Linked DNA regions of Lonchura striata. The protein of the gene in region 4 interacts with the protein of the main gene of each other region in a biochemical or structural test. Links are inferred from orthologs where the notes say so. Each region holds a gene or a part of one and is shown on either strand. Other genes may lie near its edges. The genes, in order: JAM2, claudin-4-like, CLDN2 and TJP1.

Evidence for each region.
Region 1: the proteins of TJP1 (region 4) and JAM2 form a complex in vitro, tested with the Homo sapiens proteins (2 studies listed by BioGRID and IntAct, with this or other methods). The link is inferred for Lonchura striata from reciprocal best matches to the Homo sapiens genes TJP1 and JAM2.
Region 2: the proteins of TJP1 (region 4) and claudin-4-like form a complex in vitro, tested with the Homo sapiens proteins (2 studies listed by BioGRID and IntAct, with this or other methods). The link is inferred for Lonchura striata from reciprocal best matches to the Homo sapiens genes TJP1 and CLDN4.
Region 3: the proteins of TJP1 (region 4) and CLDN2 form a complex in vitro, tested with the Homo sapiens proteins (2 studies listed by BioGRID and IntAct, with this or other methods). The link is inferred for Lonchura striata from reciprocal best matches to the Homo sapiens genes TJP1 and CLDN2.

What each region holds. Positions count from the first base shown.
Region 1 is NC_134604.1:5,387,700-5,395,200, reverse strand, and holds the start of JAM2 (junctional adhesion molecule B), read left to right. Parts: upstream 1-4,494; 5' UTR 4,495-4,646; coding exon 4,647-4,701; intron 4,702-7,501. UniProt on the Homo sapiens protein: Junctional adhesion protein that mediates heterotypic cell-cell interactions with its cognate receptor JAM3 to regulate different cellular processes. Plays a role in homing and mobilization of hematopoietic stem and progenitor cells within the bone marrow.
Region 2 is NC_134622.1:1,360,125-1,366,211, forward strand, and holds claudin-4-like, read left to right. Parts: upstream 1-4,904; coding exon 4,905-5,534; 3' UTR 5,535-5,566; downstream 5,567-6,087. UniProt on the Homo sapiens protein: Can associate with other claudins to regulate tight junction structural and functional strand dynamics.
Region 3 is NC_134616.1:18,447,068-18,452,717, forward strand, and holds CLDN2 (claudin-2), read left to right. Parts: upstream 1-3,854; 5' UTR 3,855-3,984; coding exon 3,985-4,680; 3' UTR 4,681-5,144; downstream 5,145-5,650. Other genes in the region: protein ripply1, read right to left, coding at 24-258, 328-392, 808-816. UniProt on the Homo sapiens protein: Forms paracellular channels: polymerizes in tight junction strands with cation- and water-selective channels through the strands, conveying epithelial permeability in a process known as paracellular tight junction permeability.
Region 4 is NC_134613.1:9,929,429-9,937,188, reverse strand, and holds the start of TJP1 (tight junction protein 1), read left to right. Parts: upstream 1-4,757; coding exon 4,758-5,100; intron 5,101-7,760. Other genes in the region: threonine--tRNA ligase 1, cytoplasmic, read right to left, coding at 262-348, 999-1,250. UniProt on the Homo sapiens protein: TJP1, TJP2, and TJP3 are closely related scaffolding proteins that link tight junction (TJ) transmembrane proteins such as claudins, junctional adhesion molecules, and occludin to the actin cytoskeleton.

The DNA.
Region 1 (7,501 bases), on a different chromosome or scaffold from region 4:
ATCAGGTATAAAAAATAATAAAATGCCACAGAACTCAAAAGGAGACAAGGCCCTGGTGACAGGCAGGGGAGTGGCAACCATTAAAGCAATACCCCAGGACATTGTAAAAAACCAGGTGCCATGATAACTAAAATTGCAAAAGAAAATGTGTCCCTTAAATTGGAAATATCAGCCTGTCCCCACATATGGTTGTTGATTATTCTTTACACTAAAGGGCAAGGCTTTCAAGCTGATAGATTCAATGTACTGCAGGCTGGCAGTTAAAGCTGCATAAAAAATGCATAGTACATCAATATACAGACTTTAGGAAAAAAAATATGATATTGATTGTAAAATATGCGTATTGGCAATTGAGCTAAATTAAATGGAGTCTGTTTTAGCAGTTTTACAAAATAATTTTCCATCAACTTATCCCATAGCTATGCCTGGAATCACATCAGAATGGTCACTTCACAGCTGTGTGCTACTGTATTCAGCATTTATTAGAGCAAATATATGTAACAACAATTTAGTGTGCTGAGAAAAAATATGTACAGAGATCTTATGCACAGGCTGTGGCACCAAATCTCAAATGGCACCTCTGACCATCTCAAACATAACATTTCTCTTTTTAGAAATATGGAAAAATCTGTTTCTTCTTTGTTAAATATGGAAGCATATTCTAAGGTGTCTTCTTGATCAAAGCCTGAACCATGTAAGTTCCAATAACAGTGAGCTCTCAAGTGTCCATATAAAGAATGATAGGCATGATTATTCACAGGAACACTTTTTTTCTGTGTCTTTCATTTTCTCCCTTTGTGGCTCCATATTCTACATCTTCCCCACTGCTACTCTTATCATTATCAGGCACGGTTGTCTACAAACTTGCTGGGTTATCTTCTATTATAGATGAACCAAGAGACACTAAAACATTTAAAGAGCAATCATGGTAGGAAAGCACAGGAAGAAAAAGGGAAAGCAGCACAGAACTGTAATCCTTTATGCTTTCACTGGCATTTCACTCTGCAAACAAGAGAACTGCTACTTCCAGATCACCACATATCTATACTACCTGCTTATCAGTGGGGTAAAAATATGTGCTTTCTTACATGGAATGAGGGTTGCATTATTTAATCTTCTTAAATTCAATGAGTAAACTTGAGATATGCCTGAATGTGACAGACTAGGGAAACATTGTCATTCATTAAACTTCTTTCTAAAGTTATTTTTAATGGCAGTAAAGGGATGAACATTCATTATCTCTTCTAGTCTGGCATGTGTAAGGCATAACAAAGAAGAGATTCCATAGAAATTAGCATCTTACTCTTCAAGGTGCTAATTAAGCAGCAAGTTTTCTTCATGTACTGCACTGCTTCACCACTTCTGCCCCTCTTCTATGCAGGTTTTTGAGAAGCGGAATCAGTCATCTTCCTTGGTAATCTATCTGTGATAGATTTGAGTATCTACATTGCAAAACTTTTGCAACCAAATTTAGCAGTTCTAATTTGTTATACTGATTTTTTATTGTTGTTATTTTACATCAAAGCTATTCTAGAAATCAGCGTGTTAATTGCAGAAGAATAAATCTAGAGAGGTTTTATTCCCCTCTGCAAAATAAAATACATTTTGAGTAGAGAAATCACCAAAAGGAGGATTCTATAACTTAATTTCTCTTTATTCATTTTTAGCATTATATAGCTAGGAAAGATAAAATGTTTCCCAAGTGAGGAGCCAGAGGCTTATGGTCTTTCACTGAATTTTTACAAATTATTTTTCAAAACAATTTTTCTGTTAGGTGAGAACAGAACTCTTCAACTGTGTGTCACAGACTGAAGTGGTTCATGCCTTAAACATTGTTATGAAGGAGTTTTGCCCATTATAGCAAAAACTATATTCCTGGGATTGTAACAAGACATCCAAATCTTGAAATCATGTTGCAATTACACTCAATTTTTCAAGGCTTTTCTATACAAAGAACTTGACCAGAACAGCTATCACAAAGTAAGATAGTTATTGTTGATTAGCATTTTGTGTGCAGATGTTAATTATAAACTATTTTTATTATTCTAAAAAGGAGTGTCTGTGGTAAGTTCTCCAAGAATATCTGTTAAAGTGAGCATCTCAAACAAATTCTTCCATTTTGGGCGCTATGTGTTATTTGATGAAAACATTTCTACTCCAACTTTAAAAGGTAAAAAATATGGATAGCAGTCTTGTGCCCTTCTAACAAAGTACTTAACAGTATTTTTAAGAATACAATTGTTGAGCAAAGTACATAGAGAAAAAGTGTATATATTACATGAACTATATGTATTACAACCATTTTTCCAGTAATTCTGTAAGTGCCTTCAAAATACTATCATTTAATTGCTGGTGTTTCCTGTAGTAGTATAAAGCAAGTGGAAAAACCATAATCTAGCCATTGCTGAAATAAAAGAAGAGAATGAAAAGAAAATATGAACTGTACAAAAAACAGAGAAATGTGGGGGAAACACTAGGAATTTGCTTCACTTGCAAGAGAAATAAAATAGTGAACAGAAGAAAGGAACTTTAGTCTGACCTCATGCTTGAATGGATTTGCTCTAGTATAAGAGCTGCATTAATGAATCACAGAATCACAGAAAGCTTTAGGTTGGAAGGGACCTTAAAGTCCATCTCATTCCACCTCCTGCCATGGGCAGGGACACCTTTCATTGGACCAGGTCGCTCAGAACACTTGAACACTTGAGCCTTGGACACTTCAGGGATGAGTCAGCCATAGCTGCTCTGGGCAATCCATGCCATCATGCTCACTGTAAGGTTTAAGTTTATATATAAACCTAAATTTTCCTCTTTCAGTTTGAACCCATTATTCCTTGTCCTGTCACTACATTTTCTGATGAAGATTCCCTCTCCTGCCTCCCTTCAGATACTAGAAAGCTGCTGTGAGTTGTCCATGCAACCTTCTCTTTTCCAGGCTGAACAATCCCAGTTCTCCCAGCCTCTCCTCCCAGCAGAGCTGCTCCATCCCTCTGCTCCCCTCGGTGCTCCTCTGGCCTGGCTGCAGCAGGTCCCTGTCCTTGCTGTGCTGGAGCCCAGAGCTGATGCAGCCCTGCAGGTGGGGTCTCAGCAGAGCGGGGCAGAGGGGCAGAATCCCCTCCCTGCCCTGTTGCCTACTGGATTTTGGATGCAGCCCAGCACAAGGAGGGGTTTTGGGGCTTCCAGCACACACAGCCTGGGCATGTTAGTTTTTCATCAGCCATCAGTATTAATAACATCCTATATTGCCTATCCTTTAATTTCATTCCATACTGCCATTTCTTAACATTCCCCATGTTTATAACTTTTCCACCAGACTCTTGCCATATTTAAATGTTATATCAAGACAACATTTCCGTCATTGTCTGACTAAATAGTAAAGCAGTTCTACTGAAATCAATGAACCTTTGTACTTGCCTAAAACTATGATGTGCTGGGACACACAAAAAACTTTTCTGTTTTCAATGGGACAGTTTTGATTTTATAAAATGCATGTCATGATACCAGTAATGTATACTGGACAGACATACATACATACATATATGTATGTAGATCTTTTAAAAGAAATATTACTTGTGTTCTGTATACATTTTTTTCCACGTGAAAAATAAACTAAGATTTTGCCATGAAGAGCATCATGGTATCCTACTTCCTTGTTCTCCATTAAAATAGCTGTTAGAGATTTTATTTATAAATGATCTTTCTTCATTTTCTTGCTTTCTAACAAAATATAGCCATCATTGATGTTCTGATTACCAAAAAAATTACTTGTGATACTTTTCTTGTTATAGAATTGCTTTACATCAGTGGTAATGCATTTTTAAGATGTGACTGGAAACTACTCAGAGACACTATCCACTGTCAAGATGAGTAATTTTCCTTGATTCATAAATTTAAAGAACTATTACACCACCTGTATATTTAACAAAAAACTCTCATAGTCTGGTATAAAATAATAACATAATAAAAATATTTTGAAGGTCACCGTGTAACCAACCCATCTCCTGCTGTAGGTGGGATTCTGTCCAATCCAGCTGTATAGACAGGCACACAAGGAGTCACTGTGACTTCTTTCGCCTTAAAACAGCGCCTCGCCCTCACATGGCTTTTTTGTTAGCCGGAATATCCAAGTGTTTGTTCCGTGACTTCACCCCGTTATCCCTACTTCCTCCCTGAGAGGATTTGCCTGAAGGGAAACGCGCCGACAGGGACAACGCTCTTCTTAGAGACATTCAATCTTTTCCTAACGAAAAGTTTATTCTGTTGCAACAAATGTCCTTGAGTTTATGAAGATGTCACAGCTTAAAAAGGAACAAAACGGAGACAAGAACTGCTGTATTCAACACCCCAGAGCCCCGGGGATGCGCGGGGGCATTGCGGGGGCGGTGGAGGAGAGGGATGCTCCCGGAGCCGCATCCCGCCGCGGCTCCCCGCTGCCGGGCGGGCGGGCGAGCGGGCGGGTGGCCAGGGCACATCCCCGCCCCGGTTCCTGCGCTGGGAGCGGGGAGACGCCTCCTCGGACACGTTAAAAGTTTGAGGCGGCTCCGGCTCCGGAGGAGGCAGAGCGCGGCCGCGCACGGCAACAGCTCCGCGGGCGCGGAGCCCCCGGCGCACCGGGCACCGCCCCACGCCGCCGCCGGTACGGGAAGATGGCGAGCCGCAATCCGCGCCTGCTGCTCCTCCTTTTCGTGGGGTTCTTCAGCTGTAAGTGCCCGCGTCCCTGTCCCACGGGGCCACCGCGCCCCGCCGCCCCGGCCAGCTCCCTACTTGCGGGGCTTTCCGACCCGCCACGCCGCCGGGCTGTGCGGGGGACGCTCCCCGCGGGATCTTTACGCGTGTGTTGAGGCGGATGGCTCCTGGAGGTGCCGCTTCCCCTCCCTCATCCCGGGGCGAGAGCAGCCAAATAGCGTTTCCAGGAGCGAAACGCAAACGAGCGCGTCCCCCGCCACACGCATTCTTTCCGTGTGTCTTTCCATGGTTTCGCTCGGATGTAACCTGTTAAAGGCCGGCCTGGTTAAGTGCGAGTCAGCGGCCGTCTGCCGCCGTGCAAACTTTAGGATGCGGGCTGCATACTTTGTTTTTCTGGCCTTTACAAGGTGAATGAACGAGGGGCGGGAGCGCGTTTTCTGTTGCCAGCGCTGGATGCTGCATCTTCGGAACAGTTCTTGAGTTTCCAGTATTTTTATGCTCCGAACTCCTTAAAAATAAAAGGTTAAGGTTACAATAAGTTGAGCAAAGATTCCCCAGCCAGAAAGCACGCATAAATAATAGGAAAAAGCAGATATGTGCAGCACATACCTCCGGAGAGCCACTGAATTATCACACTGTTAGTAGTGCCAGTTGTGATAAGGCTGTCACTTTCAGATCATGTCTTCTTACAGTGCTTCTATTCTATGCTTTTTGTGTCTTACTGATGTTTGGGGAAAGGGCTGTACATGAAAATAGTGTTTTGAAAATATTTATGTTGCACCATCTTCCAATGAAATGACCACCTAGGACCAGCCCAGGATGGGTTCTCAATCCACTGTAGATGTGGAACATCCATGGTACTGATGCTGGGTATATTTTGAGGTTTACCTTTCATTCCTCTTAATAGAACATTACCTAACAAAAAGCTTTGTGTATATAAGCTTCCCCCCCCTTTTTTTTTTTTTTTTTTTTTTTTCAGAGTCCTGCAGTGGAGATATTTGAAGTTATGCATGTCTAATAGGTCATTGGCTTGGAATTTTTTTTTCCCCTCTCTTTTTTCTCCTACAAGACCTTATGGAAATGTTGGGCTGTTAAATGAACAGCTAGTGCAGAAATTCTCTTTCTCATAGTAACTAATAATAATAAACAACATGGCTTGCCTTTTGGTTTTTTTTTTTTTTTACTTTATTTCTTCTTAATTTCATTATATATCTGAGCAGGTGAAACTGCTGTGATTTTTTTTTTTTTGGTGACAGATTTCAGTGTGTTCAGGCTGCTCAGCCTTCTGGTTAGTTGTCTGTTGGCAGTGCTGGCTTTGACTGCTAAGGAAATGATAGAGCGTGCAATACAGTGCATCAAAGTCTGCTGCCTACATCGTTATCAGACTTGAAAGTTTCTTCTTGGTGGGCTTTTTTTTTCCCCTTACTGTCCCAATTCCAAAGAAACACTAGGTGGAAAGCAAGTTTACAAGAAAGGTGCTGATAAGAAGTCCTTTCATTCAGAAAGTGATTGTAGGTGCATGAGTGTGCAAATGCCTACTGTTTGTGGGAGTCAGAGGAAACCCAGGAAGAAATCCAGGAACCAGAAGTCTGCTGCTGCTCCTGTGGCTGGAATGTGTTTACATGAACAGTAAGGCTGAGTAATTCAGGTGTCCAAGCCACCTGAATGGGCTGAGCAGTCTCTTATGTGGGACCCATGTGCTCTGGAGATGGTGGAGAATGGGCAGAAACTAGTGAGGAAAAGGAAGTAGTGATACCTCACAAGCAGCATATGGGTAACGTGGCAAGAGGACACACCCTCAGGCTGAGTCAGGGGAGGACATCAGGAAGAACATGGAAAAGGTTGTTAAGCATTGGAATGGGCTCTCAGGGAGGTGGAAGGGTCACCATCCCTGGAAGTGTTCAAGAAACAACTGGATGTGGCATTCAGTGCCCTGGTTGTGAAAGTGCTGATTGGTCAAAGGTTGGACTCAATGGTCTTAGAGATCTTTTCCAGCTTAAATGGTTCTGCTTAAATGGTTCTGTGGAGCAGGTATAGAGAACTTTCTTGGTAGCTGCAGAAATTAAAAGCTGTGTAAGTTGGTCACAAGGCATCAGCATAGCCAAGGTAGATGATGTTTGCTTTTCATTGGGAACTTGCTAAGAAATAGTCATGCAGAAATTGTAGTTTCTGTGAGCTAATCATCCCTTCCACCTTTAATTTATGGAAACTAAAGAAGCTGGGAGTCTTTAATCATGTTCTCTTTCAGCACAGGCTTCTGGAATTGACATCTCAAAGTTGAAAAAGGTGCCGCAGCGTAAGACTTGTGAGCTCTGTTGGCAAGACAGAATATGTACAGAAAATGTTATTAACCATCATGGCTTCATGGGAGGAGATAGTATGTACTGACCAAATGGCCTTTCTGAGAAGCATCCAGGTGTGATTTTTCTTAATATTTGTGCACACTGAAATGAGCCTTCAGCTGGCGATGCTGGAAGCAAATGCAGTACAATATGTGTGTGAGAGGACAGTGCAGAGGCAATAAATAGTAGTCTTACCTAAATATTTGATGGAGCTCACTGGGGTAGTTTGAGAAGTAAGTAAGGTGATATTTTGTTTATTTTTTTCTGGCTTAAGAAAACCCCACTCCTTAATTCTCAGAAACCTTTCACTCAGATACAGAGATTCTAGACCAAAGAAGCCTTTTGTTTCTTTTCCCCCCCAACCCCAACAAAAAAAATCATAAAGCTGACTGCATTGCTGTAGGAAGTGACAGTGGAAGTGTTTAAACTATGCTTTCTTGACTATATGTGAGAGACAACTGATGTACTCAAAA
Region 2 (6,087 bases), on a different chromosome or scaffold from region 4:
ACAGACACACACAGACTCACGGACACAGATTCAGACAGACACACACACACACAGACTCACAGGCAGGCTCAGGCTCACACACACAGACTGACAGAGGCAGAAGTGAACAGGCGGTGGTACAGGTGCACACATACACACCCTCCCCCAGTGCACATGAGGCTGCAGGGCTGTGGGCAGGGGTTCCCCTGGCAGGGCTCTGGACCAGGAGGGGACCCCAGGCATGGCTGTAGGGTGTGGGGATGCCCCAACCAGGGCTTTGGGGCAGGGTCATACCCCAGACAGGGCTCTGGGAAAGGAGGTTGGCACCCCAGACAGGGCTGTGAGGCACAGGAATAGGGGCAGGGCTATATCCCCAGGTTTTTCGAACAGTGGGCATACTCAATAGCGGGTATATGGGGCAGGGGAGATAACCCGCATAGGAGTGGGAAGTAGGAGAGAGGGATACCTCTGGATAGGGATATGGGACAAGGAGGATGTTCCAGGCAGGGCTGTGGGACAGGAGAAGAGTGGGATACTCAAGGCAGGTATATGGGATAGGAGCTACTGGGGCAGAGCTGGGGTGGGACAGGGCAGTGAAACATCACAGCCCCCGACCCTGCAATCAGAGCCCCACATGTGGCGTCCCCACTTTGTCATCCCAAATTGCCCAAAATACAGGCTGTGTCCGGTGTCGTGCCAGCCTGGGGCAGCTGCTGCTGCCTGACTCACGACGGAGGAAGGGGCAAATCACCGGGGTTTCGGGGTGCCGGCCACCCCCGGCAGGACACATTCTTGTGGTGAGCAAAGCAGCTCACTAGTGTTTACTGAGGAGCTGAGCAGGGCCAGCGTTCCTGGGGGATTCCTGAGAGCACCCCCATCCCAACTGCTACATCTCCCTCCCCGCTGCGGTCCCTCTGCACCCCCGCACAGCCAGGGAGGGATGAGGAGTATCCGAGTCCCTGGGGATGGGGACAAAGTGTGGTGGCTGCAGGAACTCTGAGGTGACACGGGGACAGGTTTGCTCCACTGCGATGCAGAGACCCCAAACAAATGCCAGACGCGAAGGTCACGGGAGCATCACCCTTTTGGTGGCTCCAAAGGAAGGACACCTGCGCTGACAGGGGGGGACACCCACTGCAGCATCCCCATCCATGCAGCCGGCAGCACCCCGGGGTGCGCAGGAGGTGACGGCAGAAACCGCCCCGGGCGCCGCGGGGCCGCGTCCCACTCACGCGTGCGGCGGGGCCGGGGTGTTCCCCGCCGCTGCGGTCGGATGCCGGCGCTTTTTCCCCCGGGGGAGCGGGGCCGGGGCGGTAAATGCCGCCTCGGCTGCTTATATTTCAGGCGCGGGGCTGCTGGCTCTGCCCCGGCCAGGGCACACAGGCAGCCCATTGTTGGAGCCCCTTCGGCGCGGCGGGAGCAGGTGAGGCGGCTCCGAGCATCAATGGCAGCTCTGTGTGCCGGCGGGGCGGGGAGGCGGCTGCGGCACACGGGGGCTGGGGGCGGCGGGGGACATGGACCGGCGGGATGTGTCAGGGGGCTGGTGGTTCTGAACCATGCCTGGGGCTTCCCCACCCGGACAGATCTGATCGTCTTCCCCAGGGCTTTGCCGTGGCATCCCGCTTCCTCCGAGCATCACCCGTGGGGAGCTCCCATTGCACCTCCCGAGACCCCCTTCCTGATCCACCATCTCCCCCATACCTTCGCCAACACCTTGGCAGCACTTAGGGGTGTTTTCCCTGTTGGGAGCCACTTGTTGCATAGAAACCGGACAGAGTTTTGAGTTTCAGAGCGACTTCAGGCCGAAGGTCCCTTCTCTCCCTGCTGGAGACCTGCAGGGACCCCACAGGTCCCGGCGCACGGTTCCCCTCCTGATAAGACTTTGCTTTCCCATAGCGATAAACAACCTGACTGTGCATATTTGAGTCGGTCGGAGGGATTTAAGTTGGGCAAGGATGTTATTTGGGAACATTCAGTCTCTGGGCTGTCGGTAACTAATCCTCGGCCTCCAGCGGGGAGAAGCTGCCCCACTGCTCAGAGGCTGAGTGGGAGGGTTATTGGCCGTGCCTTGCTCAGCAGATGTGAAGCCAGAAATCCCGGTGGATCATCGTTTGCTGGCAAGTCTCACCTGCCTCTCTGGGACCTTGAGGTAGCCAGGTTGGTGGGTCCATATGTGGGTCCTGGGGGATGAAGGGCTCTTCCCTCCTCAGTGGTGTGGGGTATGTGTGGTGGGACTGACACCCATGTCGTGGGTGGGGATGTCCCCAAGCCCTTTTTGGCAGGAGATTCATGCCCCAAGCCCTCTCCCTGCAGAGTTTCCTCCACCCTGAGCAAGGCCAGGGTAACACAGCCTCTGCTGTTCACCCAGCAGTGCCTGGCATTGTGGTGACACTGCGTTTAATGTCACCTTTGTGCCTGGGAATGGCCTCACTGCTCAGCTGAGGGGCTGCAGTGTGTCCCCATGCTGGTGAACCCAGGGAAAGTGTCAGAAGGTGTTTCCTGATGGATGTGCCAGAACGGGAGCTCTGCCTTCACACACCATCTTAGTGCAGTGTAACAGGGATGGGAGCCCTGGCTCCTGCATGTCCTTCAAATCCCACTGCATTTGGGGCAAGGCATCTACACCTGAGTGGGTGCTGGGACAAGTGCTGTGTGGTGAAGGCTCAGGATGGGCTGAATGTGTTGAGCAGCCTGTTTTGGGGTAGAGGAGCTTCCTGCTGAGCAACTGGGCTGTGGTCCCACCAGGACATGTGCCTGTGCCATGGTTCCTTGCAGCTGACACTGGGGAAAATCTGGGTTGGGGTCCTACAGGAAGCACTGGGAATTAGCATTGGGACAGGGCTGTGGGGCTGGTGTCCATGTGGGGCTGGTGTCTGTGGAGTGCTTGTCCTGGATGGCATGTTCTGAGGTTCTTGGTGGTCCCCCTATGCTGCACTACCATCCTCAGGCTCCAAGGGCTCTGGGGTTGGCTGCTGCTCCTCCACGCCAAGCTGGTGTCTGACGGTCCTGCTGTCCGGCAGTGCTGGGGACACGGGGCTGGCAGTGCGGGGGACACGGGGCTGGCAGTGCTGTCCGGGTGGGTGTGTCACTTGGGAATGTGGGGCAGGGCACAGGGGCTGCCCCTGTGTGGCAGCTGCCAGGTGGAAGATATGTCACGTTCCAGCATTAATTACAGTCATTGGCTGTCACAGGCTGTGCTGGCGCCTGCTCTGCCTCCGAGGGGGAGTATGAACAGCTCAAGTTTTGATGCTCTGTGCGCGAGGGAATCCCTGTCCCCACCTTGCCATTTGTCCCCAGCCCACAGACATGTCCCCACGTGCCTGCGGGGACACGGCTGCTGTGAGCCACACACACATTTGGGCGTGTGCCTCTCTCCAACCCCAAATAAGGCAGTGGTTGCAGCAGCCGGCTGGGAGGTGAAAGCCTCAGGCAGGGTCTGGCCCCGGCGGGGATGCTCCGGAGCTCTGTAGATTAAAGGGAACCCTTGACCACAAGGTTCTGGCTGCAGGCTGGACACACTGGTATGTGAGCAATGCGAGCATTCCAGCAGGACAGAGGGACGGACCTGGGCAGCTCCACTGGCACAAGTCAGGCAGGCAGGACCATGACCATCTCCTTAGGTTGGGGTCTGCTGTGAGACATGTCCCCAGACATCCTCCTGGCACTGCGGTGCATGGGCCACCAGGCTTGTCCCACCACACTGGGACATGATGCCCAGGGACATCCTGGCATGAGCAGTGTCCCTCGCACCAAGCAATAAGCACAAATGGTTGGATCATGATGGTAACCCCAGTGCTCAGGAAAACTAAGATTATCTCCGTTCTTCTTATCTTTTCCAGGGGCCCAGGATTAAGCTAGGGTGATGAAACAGTGCAATGTCTGTCTGGTGTTGTGCTGTGCCTGTACAGGGGCTTGGAGGGAGCAGGGAGGGAGCCTGCATTGGAGTCATGGATTAAAAGAGGACAGGGGCAGCATCAGTATGGCATCAGTGCTGGCATCGGTATTGGCATCAGCACTGGGATCAGTGGATGTGGCTCTGGGTATGATCAGTGGGATCAGTGGGTATGGCTCTGGGGCAGCTCGAGGCCACATCTGCCCCTCACAACCCCAACCCACCTAACCCCACCATGCAGGCAGTGGGACACGGGCAGAGCTGGGGCTGAGGGTGGCTGTGTGAGCCCTGGCTTGGCACTGGAGCACAGATGAGCTGGTTTGGGGTCTGTCCCCCTGTTGCCCCAGGCAGTGCTGTCTCTCCTTTGTGGGGAACCGGCAGCCGCTCCAACCGGTTTGTTGGTCTGGGCGGTGGCACCTCCTGCCCGAGGCCTGATGGAGGGCTGGAAGTGCTGGTATGGACGCCAAGGAGCAAACAAGAGCCGCTTGTGTCCTGCTGGGCACGGAGCCCAGCAGCCGGAGGGGACAATGTGCACCTCCCTCGGCATGGGGCCATGGGGGGGCAAGAGGCCGGATTGGAGCAGTCACTATGAGCTGGAGGGAACTGAGGCATGAAAGCGTGAAGGGACCCCATCCAAGTGATGGAGCAGAGGGTTCTGGCAGGGATGGCAGAGATATCCTGGTGCCTGGACACCAGCTCTTCCCCTTTAGCATCCCAGGCTGAGCCCTAGTGCTGCCCTGGGCACGTCCTGCCTGCCCACAGCAATGGCATGCACTCCTACACCTGGGTGGCCTGATCCCAGTCCCCTGTATCCTCCTCCGTGGGAGCAACCGGGATATTAAGTGTCATCGCTGCAGGGAGAAATACAAGTGGAAGAATCCCGGGAAACTGGTTCTACCCCTCCATCCGGTGCCGGCGGCAGGCCGGCGGCTGCGGCGGCGCTCCTCCCTCGGCAAAGGCATATAATGCCTGCCATGGGCCCGGCAGCCGGCACTGCGCGGCGGGAGGCGGGCAGGGAAGCAGGCAGCGAGCGATGGCCTCCATGGGGATGCAGGTGCTGGGCATCGCCCTCTCCGTCATCGGCTGGTTGGCCTCCATCCTCTGCTGCGCACTGCCCATGTGGCGGGAGACGGCCTTTGTCGGGAACAACATCGTGGTGGCACAGATCATCTGGGAAGGGCTGTGGATGAGCTGCGTGGTGCAGAGCACGGGCCAGATGCAGTGCAAGGTGTACGACTCGCTGCTGGCCCTGCCGCAGGACCTGCAAGCCGCCCGTGCCATGGTGGTGGTGGCCATCGTGCTGGCCATCCTGGGCACCCTGCTGGCCGTCGCCGGCGGCAAGTGCACCAATTGCGTGGAGGATGACACCGCCAAAGCCAAGGTCATGATCCTCTCCGGCATCATCTTCATCGTCGCCGGTATCCTCATCCTCATCCCCATCTCTTGGTCAGCCAACAGCATCATCCAGGACTTCTACAACCCGCTGGTCTCTGACTCGCAGAAGCGGGACCTGGGCTCGTCCCTCTACGTGGGCTGGGCGGCCTCGGCGCTGCTGCTGCTGGGGGGAGGGATCCTGTGCTGCACCTGCCCTCCCCGCGGAGAGAAGCCCTACTCCGCCAAGTTCACGGCTGCTCGCTCGCTGCCGGCCAGCAACTACGTGTAGGAGCCCCCGGCCGCCCCAGGGCGCGGGGACCTCGCGGGACACCCATCCTCCCCGGCTGGGCTGGGACCGGCCGGGCGCCGGGGCGGTGCGGGGGAAGGCAGACAGAGCTGCCTTTGTTCCACCGGGCTTGAAGCCGGTTCTTTAATCTCGGTTGAGACAGGGGACAAGGAGATCTTGTCCTGGCTGTCCGCGGTGGGGGTTCTGCTCCCCCCCCCCACAGCGTCCAGCTGAGGCATCTTCTCCGAGACATCGCCTGATCTCCTCCTCGAGCATTTGCCGGCTCCCGGTATCGGGGTGTGCCATGTGGTGACACAGCTCCCAAGAGCCCGTCCCACGGGTGGCACAGGGCTCTCTTTCCCCGCGTGAAGCTCCCCGGGACGTGTCTGTCCCTCGGGGTGGGTGGCGGTGTTGGTGCTGGTAGGGACAGCAAACCTGTCCCACATGGTCACAGGGACGTAGTGGTTCTGTGAAATCTGCAAACGCCGGCAGGGTCTTGAGGGGTGACAGGGGCTGTCACCTGCCTGTTCTCTAAATTTTGACTTTGACCTACTTT
Region 3 (5,650 bases), on a different chromosome or scaffold from region 4:
TCTGCCTTCCCCCGCCTGTTGCCTCACACCGGCCTGCTGAGGCCGGGGCTGCCAGCTTTCCGCGGGTGTCCCGCGGTCACATCTCCTGTCGCTTCCTCCTCTTCATCATCCCTCTCTTCTTCTTCTTCCTCCTCCTCCTCCTCCTCGCTGCCCGAGTCCTCATAAAAGAAGAGGGTGGCCTGCACCGGGAAGTTCTCCAGCAGCTTCTCCCCCACGCTGTACAGGTGGTCAAAGGCCTTGGACTTGGGCCAGAGGAGCCTGTGTGGGGAGAGCCGGGGTGAGCCCCGCCCGCCGCGCCCGCCCGGCGCCCCGGGGCCCGGCACGTACCTGACCGGGTGCTGGAAGAACGGCAGCGCCTTGCCGGGACCGCCGTCCCGCTCCGCCGCCCGAGCCTGGGGAGACACAGGCGGGTGGCACCGGGCCCCGCTGCCCTGCCCGCCCCGCCGGGCTGGCCCGGGTGCCGCGCTGCCGGCAGCTCCCCCGCCCCGGGGAGGCTGGCATCCACCCCGCGCCGCCCGGCAGGCTGGCAGCCAGTGTAATCTCTGCCCCGTGCTCCAGAGCGCTGCCCGGGCATCCCGCTAAGGCCCTGAGGAATGCCCAGCCTGGGAACATTCGGGGCTGCGGGGCCCTGTCCCCCGGGGCTCGCCCTGCCCACGGCGGGTGATGCTCCGGGGGAGGCGGACACGGCACGGCCGTGGGACAAGGGACTCCGCGGGACAAAGTGAGCCTCTGGGGCGACAGGCTGGCTTTACCCAGCAGGAACCCCACGGGCGTGGGGACAGACACAGCGGGGAGTGCCAAACTCACAGCGTCCATCTCCTGCCGCGTCGCGGGTCCCTCCTGGGCTCGGGGCAGCCACGGCCTCCAGAGAGGAAAGGCTCTATGGGAGAGAGCAGCTTCAGCCCCACCGCCTCACCCGCCCGAGCAGCACCCTCCGTCCCACCCATGGCCGCTGGGATCCGAGGTGTCCCCAGCACCGCAGCCTCACCCGAGCCCAGCGGGAGCTTCCCCAGCCCCCGCCTGCCCCACTTCCCCCGTACCTCGGCCCTTGCTCCAGCCCCGGCGGGGGGCAGGCACTGGCCAGCGGCGCTGGGAGCCCGGGGGCAGCCAGGCAGCAGGCAGCAGCTTGCATGGTGGCAGGAGACGCTGTCCCTTCTGACACTGCCGAGCCTCGGTGGGGACACATTTATAGCTCAGCCTCGGCCGTGACTCACAGATTCTTTGGGGCAGGGGAACGAGGGGATGGGGCTGTGGGGACAGCAGTGTGAAATTTGTCCCAGTTGTGTAAACAGAGGGCCGGGGGGAGGCTGGGGGCGGAGGGGCTGCGATCTCTGGTGGAAAAGCAAAACACAAAAGGGAAAATTTGGACACCATTTGTGAGAAAATCCCCGGGGGGGAACAGGGGAGGGTAGAGACAATTAACAAGGATGATTAAGTGCTCTTTGTAGGCATTTGCATAAGGGATGCAGGGGAGATGGGAAAGGGATGGGGAACGGAGGGGTGGCATGATGGGTATGGGATTGGGACAGTGCAATGGGCTGAGTGCTGGGCATGCCATGGGCACAGTGTGCTGGGCTTGTGTTGGGGACAGCACAACGGGCATGATGAGGACACTGATGGGCTACAGTGGTGGCAAGCACAGAGCCACCAGGAGGCAGCTGATAGCTCCGGGAGGCTCAAGAGCAGACAGGGAGGGAGGACCCATGGCAGGGATGGACCCCAGGCACTATCAGGGCAATGGTCCTGCTCAGGCATCCATGACCCATCACCCCAGGGAGCTGCCAGATCCCATTTCCACAGATGGGAGAGCAACCACTTACCAGTGTTCCCTGCCCTTTCCTTTGAGTTTTTGAGATGTGGGCCACCCCAGGAGGTACAGAAAAGCTCCTTGATGTGAGGGTGCAAGGCTGATGCAGCCCCTGGCACCAGCAGGGCCACTCATCCCATCCCTGCCCACTGCTCCTGCCCAAGCACTCAAAGACAGTGCCACTGGCAGTCACCTCCTGCTCCTGGGAGAGTTTCAGTTTGGGACAAGGAAAGAAAATAGCAAATGGTCCCTGCTGTAGCTCTGCTATCAGCATCCAAACACCGCTGTCCAAACGCTGGCCGGACCCTGCTCAGCTCTGAGCACAATTTGTCACCAGAGGCCCTCCCTGCCCCTCTCCATCTGTGGCAGCCGGTGAGCAGGAGGGGGCACGGGGCCAGCACAGCTCTCATTACCTTCCCCATTTGCTCCTCATTTGGGCCAGTAGTCTTACAACAACAAACCCCGTGGAGGACAAGCAGGGCCAGGAAGAGTAAACCAAAAGTTCAGGCTGAGGAGTGGGGAGCTCAACCTGCTGGTGTTTCACTGCCCCTCAAACCCCAATACAGGCAGCACAGCCCAGAGTGGACACATGGATGGTGGCACAGTCACAGGCTGTCCAGAAGGATGACAGCAAGCCTCAAACCTGAACCCCAATAATTCATAGACAACCAGCAAAGCAAGGCATCCCAGCTCCCCAGTCCTTCCCGACACCCAAAGGGTTTAATTCTGATCTGCAATAAGCCTCTGATCCAGGAGATTTGCAGGTGGATTGTGCAAAGCTGTAGCTGAACAAGTGCAGCCCCTGATCCCCTGGCTGCTCACCCTGCCCCAGGCAGCCGCCTCCAGTCCTGGGTGACCCCCGGCTGCAGCCGCCCCGGGTCCCCCCCTGCACCTCCAGCCCCCTCCGTAAGTACCACAGAGCTCCCTCCCTCACTCCCTCACCTTTCTGCCGGCACCCTGAGCACCCTGAGCACCCCAGGTGTTTCTTTTCCAGCAGCTGAGATGGTGTGGGAGGTCTTGGTTAGAGCACAGGAGAGGAGACAGACAGCTGGGAAACTTTGGTGCCAACACTGGAGGTGGCGGGAGGGGGGGGCAGGAGCAGGGGTGGCCCTGGGTGGTGGCAGCATGCTCAGCCAGGAGCGTTCCCAGGGAGAGGGAGGCCACTGGCCGCAGTGCCGGGGCTCAGCCCGGTTTCGCAAGGCACCACAGAAGGAGGAATTTTTAAACAAAGCAGAGGGAAAACAAACCAACCCTTTCCACCACCTCTGCCAACCACCCCCCCCCCCCCCCCCGCCTGTGTACAGGGCTGTGGGCAGAAGGTGGCACTGACACAAAGTCCCAGCGTGAGCTGCACCCCGAGCTGCTCACCCCTCCACAGGACAGGTCACCCCGCTTGGCTGGCGAAGCATCCCGAAGGAGATGCCAGCCCTGATGTAATTCTGCCCTCTGTGGGCCTCCAGGCTCTCCTGGGGATGCAGGTGTCACTGTCACACGCATCCCTCTCCATCCTTGTCCCCAGCAGCGCAGAAAGGCTGATATCCATGGTTCAATCTCAGGTGGCCATGTCCCTTTGTCCCAAAGGAGCCTCAGCAGCTCGGGGTGGGTCCTGGGTGACTGCAGATGTCTTGGGTGAGCCCCACGCAGATGGGTATGAGGTGCCATCCCTTTTTCTCAGCTGGAGGAGCTTTGGTTTTACCACCTGAAGTCACCTCCAGCAGGTCCCAGATAAGACGGTGCAGCCACAGCTTTTCGGTTTCCTCAGCTGGAGGCAGCACAGAAGACAAGGGAGCTCGAGGAAGGCAGCGGGCACTTTCCCCCAGCAGCAGCTGGCTCTCCATCCTGCCCGCGGCGTCAGTGCAGGGGAGGGCTTTGGCGTCCTTCCTGGGCAGCCTGCTCTGCCCCCGGAGCCCGGCTGGGGAGATAGCGGGGGTGAAAGGGCGCCTGGCGCTCCCCCAGGGGCTCGGGTCAATCGTTAACGGGGAGATTTGCTTTGCTCTCCCGCAGGTAACCTCCCCGCGCTCCCACCCGCACAAAACCGGCACCCCCGGCAGCGGGGAGGAGCTGCAGCGCTGCGAGCCGAGCCTCTCCCAGGGCCATGGGAACGTGAGCACACGGGAGGGACCTGGGCCACCACCGCGAGCCTCGGCCAGGCGACAGAGCGACAGCCAGCCCCCACCATGGTGTCCATGGGGCTCCAGCTGCTGGGCTACGCCGTGGCCTTCCTGGGCTACATCGGCACGCTGACGGCCACGCTGCTGCCCAGCTGGAAGACCAGCTCCTACATCGGCTCCAGCATCGTGACGGCCATCAGCTTCACCAAGGGGCTGTGGATGGAGTGCGCCACGTACAGCACGGGCATCACCCAGTGCGACATCTACAGCTCCCTGCTCAACCTGCCCGCCGACGTCCAGGCGGCCCAAGCCCTCATGGTGAGCTCCTGCGCCGTGTCCTCCCTGGCCTGCCTGCTCTCTGTCGTGGGCATGAGGTGCACCGTCTTCAGCCAGGGCTCGCCGGCCAAGGACCGCGTGGCCGTGGCGGGCGGCGCGGTCTTCGTCCTTGGGGGGCTGCTCTGCTTCATCCCGCTGGTGTGGAACATCCACGTGGTGCTGCGGGATTTCCGCAACCCCGTCATCCCCGACAGCATGAAGTTCGAGCTCGGGGAGGCTCTTTACCTCGGCATCATCTCCTCCCTGCTCTCCCTCGTCGGTGGCTTGATCCTCTGCACCTCCTGCCCTGCCCGGGACAGCACCGCCGCCTACTCCAGCGCCTACCGGCCCCAGCTGCTGGCCAGCAAGAGCTCCCGGCCCTCTGTCAGCCAGGCGCAGAAAACCAAGAGTGAAGTCAATTCCTACAACCTGACAGGATACGTGTAGTGGCTGCAGGGGGGAACCAGGCTGGCGCCTCTCCCGGCTCCCCAGAGCGTCCGGGCTGGCACCAAGGGAGCGCGGTAAGAGCAGAGGGCACGGCGGCATCGCCCGTGCTCAGCCCTCTCATGTGCTTGGGGGACTGACCCCGCTCTCTCCCTGGGATTCTGAGAGCCTTGTGACTGCTTGGAGATCCCAGCTGGTGGCTTGCACCGGTGAGCGGCCCTGAATCCGGCTTCTGTTCTTTACCCCACGCTGCCAGCTCGCGGGCAGCTCCTGGCACGGCGGGACCCCAGCCTGCAGCCCCAGTGAACCTGCCTGGAAAGGGGAGGGGGCTTGTGGCCCCAGGTACCGGCCGCTGGCCATGCAGGCATCCCAGCAGGGCCAAGGGCATGTGCGGGGTCTGCAGTCGCTGCTGGGGGGGTGAGTGCTGGTTGCAAACCGATGTCGCAATAAATACGTCTTTCTAGCCAGACTGTATCCGGGCTTTTCTCTGGCACCGAGGGGCCAGCAGGAGGCTGTGGAGGGGTCCAAGATGTGAAAGGTGCCCCTGGCCCTTGCTCTGGCCTGCCTCCCCCACCCCACAGCGGATGGCTTTGTCACCCGGGAGCCCAGGCAGGTGGGAGCACTGCTGAAGGGGAGGAGGGCCACTCCCTGGCACAGTTTGTCCCTGGCACCACGCTGGGAGGTTGCCACGCACCACTACTGCCAGGGTGCCAGCAGGGACATGCAGAGCTCCCTGTGGGATAATAGCAGGCAGCACCTTCCCTCCGTCCCCCAGCCCTTCTTGTTTCCAGGAGTGCAGGTGTGATGAGACTGGGATGCCCACAGGGAGATTCATTGCCCCTGTGTGTGGCACACCCAGGTCCCCAGGTGATGGGCAGCCCTGGCATTCCCACATCCCCATCCCAGTGAGCACTGGCACTCCTGGGGCAAACATGATCCCAAGGACCAAAGGCAGCTCCCAGCTATGGTGAAG
Region 4 (7,760 bases):
ACAAAACCATGAACTTTATTTTCCAATAACCCAAAGCCTTTTGTTACATAAAATGTAGAGATCTAATAATGTATCAGTAATCCTAATAATGCAAGATTAAGCTCTTGAATAATATGAGGGTTTTTTCCTCTGTGCTATAGCGAGCTTTCATCCCAAAAGCTGGGATTTCAAAATACAGCAAAGTATTTCAGATATGAGCGCCTTTTCTGAAGTTGGCTGAAAACCACTCCTATTACTACGTGGTATTAATGAACCACTTACATCATTCTGGTGTTGGTTCACGGCTTCATCTTCCTTTTTCTTTTTAATTTGATTCGCTGCATCAGCTGGATTTGCACTGGAGACTTTCTGAAAACAGTGATAATACTAAGTAAACCTCTACTATACCTTCAAGTGCTTTTTCCAGCAATCATCAAAACAAACCAAACCAAACCAGTATAATATTGGGCTAAAAAGGCAATTACAGGGAACAAGGTATATCCTCAGTACACAGACTTCTCATGGCACTTCTAAACTGCATCCTTTTGATGTTCTGCAGACACAGCAGTGCTGCTCACCAAGCAAAGTCCTCTCAACACAATTTCCCAAATTTCACTACTACAACTATCACCAGCAAAATCGCCCCAGCGAGGCCGTTGGAGCAGTGAGCAGTCTGTCCAGGGATGCTGTGGATGCCATCCCTGGCAGTGTTCAAGGCCAGGCTGGATGGGGCTCTGATCAGTCTGGTCTAGTGGAAGATGTCCCTGCCCATGGCAGGGGGCTTTAAGGTCCTTCCCAACCCAAACCATTCTATGATTCTGCGAACTCGCCGCCTTGGCGCAAGGGCAGAGACCACTGCCCAGTGCGGGCAGGCACCGCGACAGGCTTCTTCTGCTCCCGGGGCCCGGGCACAGGCGGCTCGGCCCCGTGAGCGCCCCTGTCCCGTCCCTTCCCGCCGGCGGAGGCCCGGCCGGCCCGGGGTCACCGCCCCGCCCCGCCCCGAGCGGCCCCGGCGCTACCTCTCCGCCGGCCGGGGGCTGCGCCGGCGCCGCCCGGCCCAGCTCGGCCGCCAGGCTGCGGCGCAGGTGCAGCAGGCGGTACCGCAGCTTCTCGTTCTCGGCCCGCAGCCGCTGCAGCTCGGGGCTGGCGCTGCCGGGGCACTGCAGCTCCTGCGGCTCCTTCAGCCGGCCGACCTCCGCCGCCAGCCAGCGCAGCTCCCGCTCCTGCCGCGACAGCCGGAGCTCCGCCGCCTCGGCCGCCGCCGCCGCCATGTTGGCCCCGGCGCGCTCCGCCCGCCCCGCCCCGCCCCGCCCCGCCCCGCCCCGCCCCGGCCCCGCCCCGCCCGGCCCGGCCCGGCCCGGCCCTCCCGCTGCCGCCGGAGCCCGCCCGGCGTCCCTGCCGGGCGTTCCTTTTCCCATCGCCCCTTCTGCTCATTGAGCAATCCGCTTTTTGGAGCACCTGCTGCTGTGCCGGGGATTCATCAGCCTACCTGAGGCCGGTGAGCAGCTGGGAAGTGTCGATATCTACAGAATCAGTTGGGGTGGAAAAGACCTCTGAGATCATCGAGTCCAGCCTATGACCGAGGACCGTCAAGTGGACTATGGCTTCATGTGCCACATTCAGTCTTTCCTTGAACGCTTTATTAAACAATGTCAGTGTTAAAACGTGTTGGTCAGATTGCATTCTTATTTGACTTCAATGTCAAATGAACACTGCCGGAGGTTATTTGTAGTAGATGCTTCCTGGCTGACACACTTTCTTATTAAATCAGGCTGATTGAAACTATTCAGCATCTTAGCACAAATTGCAGAACTTAGCACGAAGGTAAATAATTTGAAGAGGGTTGAGTTGCCAGATGTTAGGACTCAGAGCTTGGGAGAATTGTACAATTCCTATTGCACAGCCCAACAGTCTGCTGCATCATTTACAGGTCATTGCAGTTAAATACCTCAGTTCTTGACTCTGGGAAAAGAATAGCTCTCCATCACAAATCTTTCATATCCACCATGTACTTCCATGTATCCTTTTGTCTTAAACACTTCCTTGGCATCTTCAATTTATCTAGTTTCCTGCTTTGATTGTACTTCACACTCACTTTTCTGTGTTCAGTTTCTCAACACACATTTTCAAATTTTCACCTTTAATCTATACTCAGACTTTAAAAGCTGTGGGCTTTTATTACCAAATTGGCAATTAGCAAATCAGAATTTTAGCATTTTATTCTTCTATTTACACAGTGGGAAATAACTATATGGTTTGTGAGAAGGTAGAGAGATAAATTTTGTAACTGTGCGCCACTTGATACATTTCCTATATCACCCATTCTTTGTGATTTTAAGACTTTATAAGAACATATTTGAGGTTATAAGAATATATTCTTTTACCAGCAAAAATAATGGGGAGATTTCTGGCTCAAAACTTGTACTCCTTTAGAAGAAAAAAGTAAATTATTCAGTGCATCAAGTCCAAAGACTCTCCTATAGTGTATACTCACAAATTTTAGGTTCATATACCTCAGCAAACTGGTAACAATGCACTGTTTTCATTTGCAACAATTCTTCTTTCCTTTCCTGAAGAGGTGCAACTTGGCAACACCTTTGTCTATCCCTCACTATAGCAAGGATGTGTATCTTTGAGGTTAGATTGGCAGTTGTGAAAGTAAAACATAGTCTATAGCTTCCTTTAGAAATCTATTTTCATTATGAATTTGATAGGTTACTTGCTATTTTAATTTTTAAATTCACTACTGTGCAGAAATAATTAGTCTGCTTAGGATACTGATGACAAGCAGTGTTATCAGCACAATAGAATAAACACAGATTTGTTTTTTAAATTAAACTCTGAGAAATGTATTCAATTTATATCTTCTGTATCTCATCTTTGGGTAGTGCCTTATGAACTCAAAAACGTGTAACTTTGGGCTTGCTCTGGCATTTAGTGAAGTAAGGAAGAACTTCCCCTCTGAAGGCTGAGAAGGCTGATTCAGAGGATGCTGTCTAACATATGTGCAGTGCCAATATCCTCTATCAGGATCTTTTATTTGCTGAGATAATGTGGTGTTAATTAGTAGAACTTATGAGACAGAAACAATTTGAAGAGAGCAAAAAAATCATACTACCTCTATGAATGTTCAAAGCTAGAGGGAATTTGGAGAGTTAAAGCCTCCTTCCAAAGTCTATCTAGAAGACCTGCCAGATAGGTTGGCTACTTTCTCTGCCCTGTGCAGCTGGTTTAGCTGTGCTCCCTGGCTCGTGGTTAGGATGGCTCATGTTGGGATGGCAGCTGCTTTGCACCATCTCTGTCCCCCCAGAGGGCCCTCTGTGGTGTGTGGTGTGCAGAGCACAGGGAGCTCTACCTGAGATGATCACAGCAGCGTTATGGCCAGTAAGCCATAACATTGTAAACTGAGACAATTAATATTTCTTCAAATAAAACACAAACCCATGGTCCTTGCCCCACATGATGTGTCACACAGAGGCTTGTTGTATCTGCAAACAACCACAAGGTGACAGGCAATGCTGCCAAACAATTCCGTGAAGCCTCGCTGGCTAACTGGATGCTCGCATACACAAGAAGATTCCTGTGTTAGGATATGGTCAGTGGTCAACTTTAATGTTAACTGAATGTACTTGAACTTTAGGAAACAGAAGAAGCCTGAGAGGAGGATACCATGGTTGCAACTTAAGATTACAAGAACAGAAAATATTCTAAAACTCATTGGACTAAAAGCTTGGCAAAATATTTTTGTTTGCTCCACAACAGATAAACTACCCTTTAGAAAAGTGCAGGTAAGGTCACATGAGCAAGGCCATGGATGCATTATCAGTTGGAAGAAATAGAAAAAGAAAAAATAGACTAAGAAACAGGAAGGGGAGGCAGGAAATGTTCATAGCTTTTCCATAGAGGGAATTTATGTTGACAGAAAGTATGAAAACAAGACCGAGAAGTCCATGTACTAAGGATCATTTGCATAAGGGAGGTTATGTAATGTGTGATCCTCAATGAATGATTATCAGTGGCAGAACACCTCCACTGGGATTGCAGTAATCTCCACTGTTAAACCTGGCTCAGGAAACGAATGCTACATGATTTATTTTGCTTGGAAATGGCATAAAAATATAGACATGTAGAAATGTTGTTATTCTTAGTAGTTATGTACTTACCTTGACAAAAAAGGTCTTATTCTGTAACTTTTTTTTTTTTTTACCTTTTGCATATAGGTTTACAGAATATATATAGAAACATGCTTTCTAAATGTGTAATTTCATTCCATATTAAAGCTAATATTTTATAGAAGAACAAGAATTGGATGGTATTTGTACTGTGGTTTGGGTATGGCCTCTGAGGAATATAAAATCAAAGTGTACAAAGGATGCTTTATTTTATGTCCTGTACCAGCTTGTACAGATTATTTCCATTTGATCAGCTGTCTTCTAGAATGAATTATTTTTTGCAAAGAGATATCTTTGAAGATCAGTTATAGAATTAAAAAGTAACAGTAGCTAAGCAATTCTCAGTCTCATCATTATGGTTCAGAAGCTGTTAACAGTTGTAAAGGGCTAATTAGTGTAATGTAATCCTCTTAGGAGGCTGCAGGCATTGAGCTAGATTTCTTTATAATTTGTATGTAGGCCTTCTTCATTCCATTGGTATTACAATAATCACAGACATCAGTATGTATATGCATTCTAGCTATCCACATTATGTTGATTCTGTATACTGAATGCTGCACGAGAAATGCAGAAGTAGAATTTTCTATTTTCTATTTAAATATCAAAATGTTTGGAAGAACAGCCAAGTCTTGGTTTTACAACTGTGCAAAATCTACCAGAAGAGAAAATGAAAACAGGAGTAAGTGGCTCTCTGAAATCCCAAGCAATCAGAGACAGAAAATACTGGAAGAGCTGGATGTGAACAAAGTGCTGTCATATTTGGTTTACAAGAGAGTCTTTTCCTTGGAGGAATACAAAGACATTTGGTCTCAGGAGAGCTACAAGAAGAGAACAGAATATTTTCTAGATAAACTCTATTTAAAAGGCCCAGGTGCTTTCTCTGCCTTTTGTTCCATTTTGGAGGAGGTCTCTCCTAACTTGCTGACATGTTTTCTCCTTGGCTATGAAGGTAAGGTCACTGCTCTGAAATGCTTAAGTGTATATTGGTAATGTCTTGCAATCCTTTGACACTAATAGTTATTTGCTATAATTAGTGTTTACTTTCTCTCTTGCACTAAACCAGAGATAGTATTTACTACCTTTATGGTTTTTAGTTATGAAATAAAAAATAATTAGGAGAAAAAAAATCTTAAATATATTTTATTGTTATACTTAGAACATTTAACCTGATAAAATGCTGAATACTCAAATTGCTGCTATTAATAAATGAAAGTCAGGATGGTGAAAAGGATTTCTAGGTATTACTGATAACGCTTAGATGAGAAATGTAACACTGATTATTTACGTTCCTTACGCTTTCTGAAATATTTAAAAATAGATTGAGAAGTTCTGTAGGCAAAAACCCGAGTAAGTGATCCCGTTCACATTTTTCTTGTTAGTTATTGTATCTGTCTGTAAACAACTGTGTGAAAAAGGGTTGAATTCCTAAATATCAACAATACGAGTGAAATTAATCAAATAGTGATTTGGCCATCAGGCACCAGCCGTACTTATTTGCGGAACAATATTTTGCTAGATATTAGCAAAGGTAATGTGAAAAATGCGTAGGGTGCTTACAATTATATCTTACTGACCTATTTTTATTTTTTGTGTCTGTTATATTCTAAATTTCAGTCTATCAAGTCAACTAGAGTTTTTCTCAGCAATGACTGCAGGGTTGTGCTCAAAGGTTATATAGGGAATGTCCTTTTAGAATGTAATTAAAATAGTCACATCTTTCACTGATCTATTCAGTACCAGGTTTAAGCAACTTAAAATTACAAGTATTTATAAATAAAATAAGTCTGAGTCCTGTAAAAAACATTAATAAACTAAATATGAAAAAATTTGAAATATAAAACCATTTTGACCTTTGAAATAACTAGATTGTGCCCTCTCTTGACAGCCTGATTACTTTTAAAATTGACAGTTGGAGTTCTAATTACATGAGAAAGCAACAGACATTTTACCCTAATTTAATTATGAAAGATGCCCATTTAATGTAGCTTTTCAAGATCAATTTACAATAAGGTTTTATGGCAGTAACAAGAAAATCAAAGGATGTTGCTGGGGAATTTAATACATGTACAAAATACTTCACAGACTACAATGCTATAAAAAAAGCTACCTAGGCCCTCTTTTCACTATCTTTTTTTTTTTTTTTAAGCATAGAAATATAAATACAATTGATTATAAATACATTATAAAGCCAGGTCTTTTGGAATACACTTTTTGGAATGAAAATTTGGGCTTCCTCTGATTTAACTGAAGAGACAGTGCAGGGAGGGTTTTTATTCTATGCCATCTAAATAGATCATGCAGGGGCCTGTCACAGAACAGATTTCAGTCTTCCAGTGGGTACAAGGTTTGGGGGTAGCACTGCTCTAAAGGGGATGGCCTCAGCAGAGGAGTGCAAGTCAAGGACTCTGTCTCCCTGACAACATCACAGGAGATACAGAGAAAAAGGAGAAAGCAAATGCCACACATTTCCAAGAGTAAAGGATACTGTTGGAACAGCATCCCAATCCATTCTGTCTGTGCCTTGTGCAGGCAGAAAAATGCCTCAGGCTGCCTTAGCTCAGCCACTATTACACTCTTTCTTCCTTCCCCTCCCCCAGTAGTGCTTATCAAATATGCAAAGCTAGTTTTAGAATCTGCTTTTGCTAGTAATAATTGACTGGATAACAGGCAAAGAAAAACACATGCTATATATACACATTAATTCATGCAAATAATCTGTTTAAATTCATGCACACATACATTGCAGATTCAATTAAAATGCATTATGTGTTCTGGCATTGTGGATTTTTATAGATCAATTTTGATAAACCGTGTTACAAGGTGCACAGAAAGATGTGATGAAAAAGAACATTGTTCATTATTTCCATTACCATAATTTTCTTCTCCATCCTCTAAAAGCTGACTGATAGGGCAAAGGAATCAAGAGGAAGGAATGCAGTCTAGATGCATGACGAGAAGCTGCTATGCCTGTGCTATGTGGCATCAGCACTACCAGAGCAGTGCCATCCTGCCCACTGTACTTGTTAAAGACACTCTTTGTGGAAGGCTGACTGAGCACACAGAATAGAATCAATTCCTGTTATTGATCAGCTGCATGTACAGTGGGACCAGTTTCTGTTCTCTGGACCTGTCCCTGTTGGCAGATATGGTTATTTTAATGGGTTTCCATTGTCTGCATGCCCTACAGAAAGGACCATTTGACAGGTGCTGGAAATGTGGCATGACTCCAAGAGGTCACTCAGGCTGTGGATTAATGTGGCTCACTGCAAGTACTGTGAACTGTGCTAGTGAAATGTGGCCACCGAAGGATATACTGTTGCTTGCACATAATTGTTTTAATACTTTGAACTCTTTCACCTCATAATTTCCAATAATTACCCTCACAGTAACTTAAGTGGCGTTATAGCCCCACTGATGCATCAAGATTAGTGACTTGATTAGTTTACTTACAATTCTTCCTATAATATAAAACAAAGCCCCTAGTGATTTCATGCGGAGAAACAGTTGGTTACTACTTGCCCATATGATACAATAGAAAGTCAGCTCTTCATTGGCCAGGAAGAAATTTACATGGAGTAAGACTTTTTATTATTTCCAAATTTCTATAAA